2 linked regions of the Kluyveromyces lactis genome follow. The protein of the gene in region 1 purifies or fractionates together with the protein of each later gene. This does not show direct contact. Links are inferred from orthologs where the notes say so. Each region holds a gene or a part of one and is shown on either strand. Other genes may lie near its edges.

Region 1 (4,601 bases):
ATATGGTAAAATTCCCACTCAATTTCGAGCTAAAGTCTAATCATGACCAATTTTCGTGAATATTCCTGTGGATTTTAAATCCGATGAACGTAGATTTTTGCAGCAGGTATTGACAAACACCTTCCGAATGATGCTAAGGTAGTCACTGAGAGTAGTGAGAGCAGCAAGAGAGCAGAGAGGGCTACCCAAGCATTTAGGTTTGGCTATTGAGTAATGAATAGTATACTCGTCGGTCCTTTCATGATGTCTCTCTTTTTTTCTTGGGAATATTCATGCTTGAAAATATGGGGCCCAAGGTTGACCTTTGGTCGAATGGTCGAATGGTTGCGAAATATATGTTGATACATATACATTTCTTATACATATGTATGGCGAAGTAAAAGGTGGATAAAAAAGTGAGCGTTTACGCTAGATATTCATAGCATTCACCGTCGTCTGTCCTTTTCAAATACTCTTGTTCTATTAGATTGTCGACAGCTTTTTTGATCATGGACACCTTGGCGTTGAATCTCTGTTGAGATTCGGCAATACACTCGTTCATCAATGAACTGTGTGGTAGTTTTCTCTTTGCCTTCATAATTCTCACTATGCATGCTCTTAAGAACATCAATCTTTGTTGATTTAGTTCCTTTTCTGCTTTCTTTTGCTCAGATGCCTCTGTTTCATCTAATGCAGATCCATTAACGGTTGCAGTAAAGGTTAGATCATTTTTCACAGCGGCTGCAAAATTAACACTAGTTTTCGATAATCGATAGGGTTTGTTTAAGGTGTACTTTGTATCTAACTTGATCATACTTTCCACCCCTTCTGGAGATTGTATTAATAGTTTCATCTTCACAAACGGATACATATTAGACGCAATCTGTGTAGCCTTCAAATTGGTTCTCTCTTGTATTTGTTCAAAGGTCAACGTAGATATATCATTAAACAAGGTAAGAATCGCCATTTGGAAAATAGTCACAGTGAATTGGAATGGTGGTTTGCCTGGTTTACCAATATGTGCCTTGATTTCACCACGAGACATTGGCCATAGCCATTTCAATATTCTACCAGAATGCTTGTCAGTATACATGGTTTCCAATTTGTTCTTACTATGTTCAAGAACTGGTGGTAATGCGAATTCTGTTGGTTGATAGCTGAAGGGCCATACATTGTCTGCAAGAATTAGAGGTTCTAATTCAGGAACTTTGCTTCTGAAAGTTGCGGCGCTAGTAGTATTATTCCCATCTTGTGAAATGAACGTGGAAAATTCATCATGCAAGTTTTTAGATAATTTGACATCTTGTAGCATCTTGGTAATCTTGCTGGTGTATTCAAGACTGTTCTCGGACTGTAGTCTTTGGATAATGATTTCTTCATCAGCTTCTGATTTTGATGATCCATGAATTAATCTTTTTGCTAAATTTTTTCGGTAATGCATCTCAAATGCATCCTTGTCGGCCAAGAACTTAAAGACAGTCATGATATCATCCACGGTCAAATCTACCTGTTCATTATTCTTGGTCGACTTTTTGAGCAACTGGTCACTGTATTTCGCCAACATCTCAGGAGCTCTAGAAGTCGCAAATTTAGGTGAACCAGGAGGAATAGCGAATGAGTTATTGTTAATGAAGCAACGGCATCCATAGTCTAAAGCCTTAGCAAAAGCAGGATGATTTTCAAAACATTCTATGGTGATATTGTAAAAGAGTTTGTAAACTCCTATTAAACATTTCAAGTAATCTCTAGGTGATAATCCCGGTTGCCTTTTAGCGTTTGAATCTTGTGCTGCACTCTTATTATGTGCATCAATTAATTTATCGATTTCTTCATTTCCGACTCTCTTGATGTACATATCAAAAGTATCCACCAAATCTGGTAACATTCGGTAATCGCGTTTCATCAATTCGTATATGAGCTTAATCAATCTTTGATCTTGCTTATCCAAAAGTAAAATAAACTCTTTTTTTAACTTATCGGCATGATCAGCAATCAAAACTTGGTTCAAAGCTGTAGACAATGGTGCCGATGTATGGGAATCCAAATATAAAATCATGTCCTTTTCTTCGAAGATTATGCATTCATTTGCCTTTTCGATGTATTCAGAGACACTGTGAGAGTCTAAGAATTCGTTGGACATCTTCGTGTAGTATTCTTTTGTCTTCTGTAGGAATGGCTGTTCGAAGTTTTGAATATACACATTCAAATTCAACTTCTTTAAGTCTGATGGATCGATACCTAATATCACAAAGGATTTTATTGCTATTGTAATAGCAGATTTATTCACTAATTCACCCCTCCGCTGCAAATCCAATTGATCGAATATTTCAGTAACGAGTTCCGTCTTATGTGTTTCAAACATAACTTCTTTCCACGTCATCAAGCACAAAGTATGTGCATCGAAAATGTGTCTTTTACCATCGCTTCTTTCCTTTTGCACCCAGTAACGGTTCATATAGTCGAAGACCCGATTTAAGAAAATAGCTCCGATTGTAAATCTTTCCCAGCGTCTCACGTAGAAATTCAAAAACGTTACATTATCATCTTTCTTTAAATTCGATATGTAATCTTTCAAATAATTCTTTAAGTTCTCATAGATTTCTCCTCCAACAAGAATCGAAGATTGATTCATTTGCTTCCCTATAATATCAGATTGGAAATGACCTGTAGAACGTGACTTGTTGACACAGTAATTATAAATCGCCGTGTATACCTCCATGTACATCCTTGGGGAAAGAACTTTCTGAACTCTGTTTGTCTTTATATCCGATGTACCATCACGATCCAAGATCTGGTCGATCCCAGGCTTCACAAAGTTCCATGTTGCTTCCAAATCATCTGATCTAGGTAATGTGTCTGCCATAGCTTATTAGACTTGTTTCTTATTGATTGCACGTGTAGTTTCTTTTACCAGTAATATTTCTATTGAACGATGCCTAAGTTATCTTTTCTGAAGCGTTAATGAGACTTGCTTCCCACTAACCCAGTTAAATATACGCTTTAGAATAATAGTATTCCCAAGGGCGCAGGTAGCGGTACTTGTAAATAAAGATTTGGTAGTAAACTGAAATCAGCAGCGATAGAAAATACAGTTCGAGTCCCAATTAGTCGAGCAACCCTTTTCAATGAATCGAAAGAAAGGATAAAACAGAATAGAAAGCGCCTTCACTGCTAAATATGAAATGCACCACTTGTTGGCGGGATCCTATAAAAAAGGGTCACACAGGAAAACTTTATATTGCTTCTATCGTGAAGTATCTCCGAGTTGTTCGATATTTTGACCCTTTTTGACAGCCTTACTTGTTATATACTGATTTATATAATTGCATACTATGTTACTATAATTTCTTATATTTTTGTTTTCGTTTGCCACACATTATTGGAATATCAAAAAATCCTGAATTGTTCCTCAATATGAATCTGATCTTATTATTAAAGTACTTAAAAGAGGGTAAGGATTACAGCTTTCGGCAAATATACTTTAGCATACTGCAGTCGTCTAATTATGTTGTTTAATACAGGGCCCAAACTTATATGTTTATAAGGTTTTCTTTGGTACTTTTGATTTTCTTTTGTTGGGTTTGTAAACAAATTATGTACTCTCATGGAATAATGATTTATTTAAAACAATTAATCTACAGGCGTCTTAAGTCGGAAGGGCCCGTTTCAAGAATAGTCTTAGGGTCTTGGAGCACCAGAACTGACTCTTTCCACGACCCTTAATATGCTAATACTGAACGTTACAACCCAAGTGACCAAGACCAAGAAAAGGAACGCCGCGAGCGCCCTTTGTTTGTCACATATATATCCTACGTGCGGAGGATCAACTTGTGACGTTCCAGTAGATGTGCAGACCCATCGATTATCATATAATGTATTGAAGGTAAGCGATAAATTAGCACTTGAAAATATGATGAATAAAAGGTCCAGCATAATTAGTCTGACTTTAGTCATAGGATCTCTAATTCCTAGCGGTTTCCCTGAAAATTCGTCATATCCGATATAAACCAAATATAATATAGCGATGGAATTAACACATAGCGCCATGATAGTACTTGGTTGTTGAGGTATTGATGATTCGAAGGATTCGACAGTGGAATCCGAGTTCTGGTATATTCTACTTGCTAGGCCAAGAGAGATTATGCAGAGTATCACAATGAGAAATCTCAACGACAAAGGTAGATATTGACTTTGCAATAAAAGTCTTCGTAGTCTTGGTAACCATTGTTGTTTTTTTCTTTGTTCAAGGGTAGCCCAAGAGTTTTTCTTACTATTCACACTATTTCTCCCCTTGTTTAAAATAGAATGAAACCTCCCATCGTCACTTGAATGAGTTTCCGAAGATTGTTTCGCAGAGTCCTTATTCAAGTAGTAAAAAGCTTTGAGTTGGGAAACGTATTTAAGCCACTCATTCTTGTCTCGTTGATTACTCAATTCGTAGCTTTCAGGAATCGGAGCGTTGAAGATAGCATCCAATCGTTTCCCACCTTCCCAATCTCCATCTAAATTTTGAAAGATTTCTTGTCTGACTCTTTCTACTTCCTCATCATAACTGCTATCTGTCGTGTGTCCATAGTAGTATGCAGTTCCATCTTCGGTATCCACTGCATGCGTATCTGTAT
Region 2 (3,773 bases), on another chromosome or scaffold:
GAACGTGTTTTCAACACGGCTTCTTCGGTTGCGACAGCCATAGTATTCGTTAACGGTTCGTGGTTTTACTTCTCCACTTTGGAAATCGATCCAACTCAAACAATCTTTGGATTCGATCCACTAATGGCAATTACTGCTGGTATGATCACATGTGCTGCTGTTGGTTGGTTATTGGGACCAATTGTGGGTACTGCATTGTTTAAGGCCACTTCCGGTCCCAAATTATTACAGTTTCAAGAGAAGCAACTTTCATTTTTGGCCAAAATCCAAAAGAACAGAGTCAATCCTCAATCACAATCTTTCAGTAACCCTGTGCCGGATTACTACGGTGAAAAGATTAATTCGATACCACAGTACAGACAATGGCTAAGAGATTGTCATTCTTACAAAAGAAAGGCTAGTGAGTTCTTGTGAAGCGGAAAAATACCAGAAAAAGTATGATGACTATCACTCTCCCACCCAAGGAAACGCCTTTCCGTAAGTACAAGTAAATAGTAAATAATAAATAGTGGTTGATATCTAAAGAAACATTCGTTAAATCAGCATTAGCAATTGCGTAATGGTATATGCCAGAGAAACCGGAATGAAAAGGATCGATACCCAACAAAAAAAAGTATATTTGGATGCGGCGAGGTTCGAACTCGCGCCTGTTAACATTAACAGACCTGCATATTCCGGGTAACCGTGTCCGTCACTCGCAATCCACTTCTGCTCTACCCGCACCCAATAGCCGCCAAGCAATCAGTGAAGATTTTCTGGAGGACCCACAAATTTTTGATTTTCGGACCAGGCCCCTTACAACTCGCACAAAACTGCGTAGAAAACCTCTGTTTAAAGGTTTAAGGAAACGGCTATCGCAATTTTCTTGGCCCCCCCAAAGGTAAAGCAGAATGTGTCAATTGGAAAGCGACGGAGACGGTTTTGATGCCGCATTGAGTCCGCATGCTCATTTCTTGTCCCTGAAGCAGGCGCCTTAACCACTCGGCCACACACCCAGTTCTTATACTGTTAGTAGTTCAACTAAATTGGGAGTAGTTCTTCATTTCAATTTATTATATTCCAGCGCAGTGTAGCCCCTTTATTAACTGGGTTAACTGGGTTTCTTCGATAATCTACCGGTTGAATATGGGTCTATTTACCCCAGTTATATACCATAAAATGGCTCTCTGGAAGTTCTTCTTCAAGGTACCCGGCTGTTCTGTCTGTTCTTTTCATTGATGTCGCGGGTTTGATTGAGGAAAGGAACGCATAACGGATTTCCGTACAATGTGATCTTCATTTCTACTCACGTGACTTTGATTTCAATTTCTTGGAATTCGAAACTTCACTTCCGTTCGTTCTTTGCCAGGAATTCATTACCCTTTAACATGCCTACCTTATGCTTGAATACAATAGCCCAGTCATTCGATTCTTATTGCCGGCTTCTACCATCAAAAACACTAAACTTCTTTCACTCTTGATGGCTGTATGCTGTATATTAGAGGAGCTTTATGTTACTAAGAGGAGAGATTGCTGTTTAAAGACGCCGTACAAATTGCTCTTTTGATTACTTATTATCCATGATTGATACATTCCCACTGGAATCACTTCCAGACGAGCTTTTAGCTGAAGTCATTACTCATGTACCGCAGCGAGATAGATTGAACCTATGTTTGGTGAATAAACGGGTTTCAAAACTAGCACTGCCGATTTTGTATCGGAGAATTTATTTGAACGATTCGAATGTAGTAGAGAGTGATATAGTCAACCTCGCTATCAACTGGACATACTTGTACATGCCCCCAAACGAGGCAGAGTGCTGGTCTCGTGGGTTGGCTAATGCGAAACTTGATCTTCTTATACGCACTTTATCTAGGAACAGTGAAAGGTTGAATTCCATTCAATGGATACGGATTAATTGGGATTTGGATAAAGAGAAGCAGGCAGAAGTTTTAAGGTTGCTATGTACGTACTCTAAATCCATTATACGATTGGAAAACGTTACGGACCCGGATTGTAACGATATTATTGCAAATGGAATCCAATCGCGTCATAATGTCACCAGTTTCGATAGTGCCCCACCTAATTCCATGCCCGAGGGAGAAGTTTCCAGAACGTATTTGCCTAATTTAGCTCAATATTTAAAGCAACGGATTTCTTCTAACTTGTCACACATGACTCTTTTCATGGATCCCATCCAGTTGTTCAATTGCATATACCCATTGCAATTTAAATTGCAAATCCATGACTTGAAACTACATTGGAGGAAAGAATATTATCCGCCCGATCAATTGAAACCGCTGAACCAATACCCGAAGCTTACTAAACTTTCAGATGTCTTCGATGTGAGAACTTTAAAGGTGTTAACAATCATATCATGGAATGAGAATTTGAATAAACGAGAATTGGAAATTTTGACTGAATTTTACGAGTTTACAGAAATTCGGGATTTATCTCTTATATCTATGAGACAAAATCCAGCCATACTCATCGAACTTTTCAAACGTTTGAAGAATTTGAAAAGGTTGAAGACAGATTTTTTGCATGAGTTCACTCCACATCCTGTTTCAACGGATGTATTCCTGTCCATTTTATTAAATTGTAGAGAGCTACAATTCCTAGATTTGAGATTCGAAAATATCGACAGGCAGATCATTTCTATCGAGGGGTCAAGGTTCAAATTCTTACATAACTGCCATTGTGATGATTGTAATCATGTGTTTCAGGATATACTATACGGTAAATTTTTCAATTCGTCGAAAGATATGGTGATCAGAGATTTAAGCGATTTGATCGCTAAGGATATATTCACAATGATGAAATACCTCTCTTTATTACCTTATTCAAAAGCATTTGACATATACCCTTCTGTTAGGACACAACCAATGAATCTCTCGGACTTCGTCACCAAGATTAATGAATACAATAGGCACTATAAATCCATGCATAGAAACTCAACCCCGATTGAACCCATCACAGAATCTGACGTCATCAAGTGCTATCATGCAATGGTTCATCACAATAAAAAGACATATACAACTATACTCTCAAATTTGAAAAGATTACGATATTTGGTTTTGAACGACGTACCTTGTATCGTTCTCGAGAGAGAAGGTGCCCGTGTTCCTGTTCCAGTTTTCTTTAATAATGGTTACAAATCGAATATGGGAAATTGTTAAATATTGTACTTTTCTATACAAGGAACAAGAGGGAAAGTACCAAGCCCAAAAAAATTATGGAAGAATGCTGTCCATCTTGGGGAGTTCACCTACATCCATCCCATAAAAGAGGTCAAAATCTGTTGAGTCAAAGACTTGTTGCAAAAATTGAGTGACATCTATTGCATCTGCCTTGGCCGAATGCCTCTCTTCTAATTTTTCAAGAGCGTGCTGATAACTTGATGAGAAGAGATTTGGTTCGTAGTTTTTACACATCATTTCAACTTTCAAATTAACTACTTTTTCAGTGAAACTGAATCTGGCATTCCAGACTTTTATTACATCGTCGTCTGACATTTCTGCGTCTTTACTGGTTATACCCAATTTTTCTAGAACTTGATGATTCTCATGTTTTAGAATCGTCAACATATGATCTAATGAATCCTCTCTATTGATCAAATTTAAAGTTAGTTTATATTTGAACAATCTTTTGAATACATGATAATAGTATGGGAATTCATTAAAGTACGTTGTCAATATTTTATCCATTAACTGTAGGATTTTTTGTTTGCAGGGGTTACGAGCTCTTAGTATTATTGCTGGCAAGAGAACTAGGGCTTTATTCATTGATATCTC

Evidence for each region.
Region 2: the proteins of CDC53 (region 1) and DAS1 purify together in Saccharomyces cerevisiae (affinity purification with mass spectrometry; 4 studies listed by BioGRID, with this or other methods). This does not show direct contact. The link is inferred for Kluyveromyces lactis from reciprocal best matches to the Saccharomyces cerevisiae genes CDC53 and DAS1.

The regions. Positions count from the first base shown.
Region 1 is NC_006042.1:536,162-540,762, reverse strand, and holds CDC53 (cullin CDC53), read right to left. Parts: upstream 2,843-4,601; coding exon 404-2,842; downstream 1-403. Other genes in the region: SRF1 (phospholipase D regulator), read right to left, coding at 3,658-4,601. UniProt on the Saccharomyces cerevisiae protein: Core component of multiple cullin-RING-based SCF (SKP1-CUL1-F-box) E3 ubiquitin-protein ligase complexes which mediate the ubiquitination and subsequent proteasomal degradation of target proteins.
Region 2 is NC_006037.1:558,781-562,553, reverse strand, and holds DAS1 (SCF ubiquitin ligase complex subunit DAS1), read left to right. Parts: upstream 1-1,559; coding exon 1,560-3,158; downstream 3,159-3,773. Other genes in the region: PAM17 (Pam17p), read left to right, coding at 1-414; OAF3 (Oaf3p), read right to left, coding at 3,213-3,773. UniProt on the Saccharomyces cerevisiae protein: Substrate recognition component of a SCF (SKP1-CUL1-F-box protein) E3 ubiquitin-protein ligase complex which mediates the ubiquitination and subsequent proteasomal degradation of target proteins. Probably recognizes and binds to phosphorylated target proteins.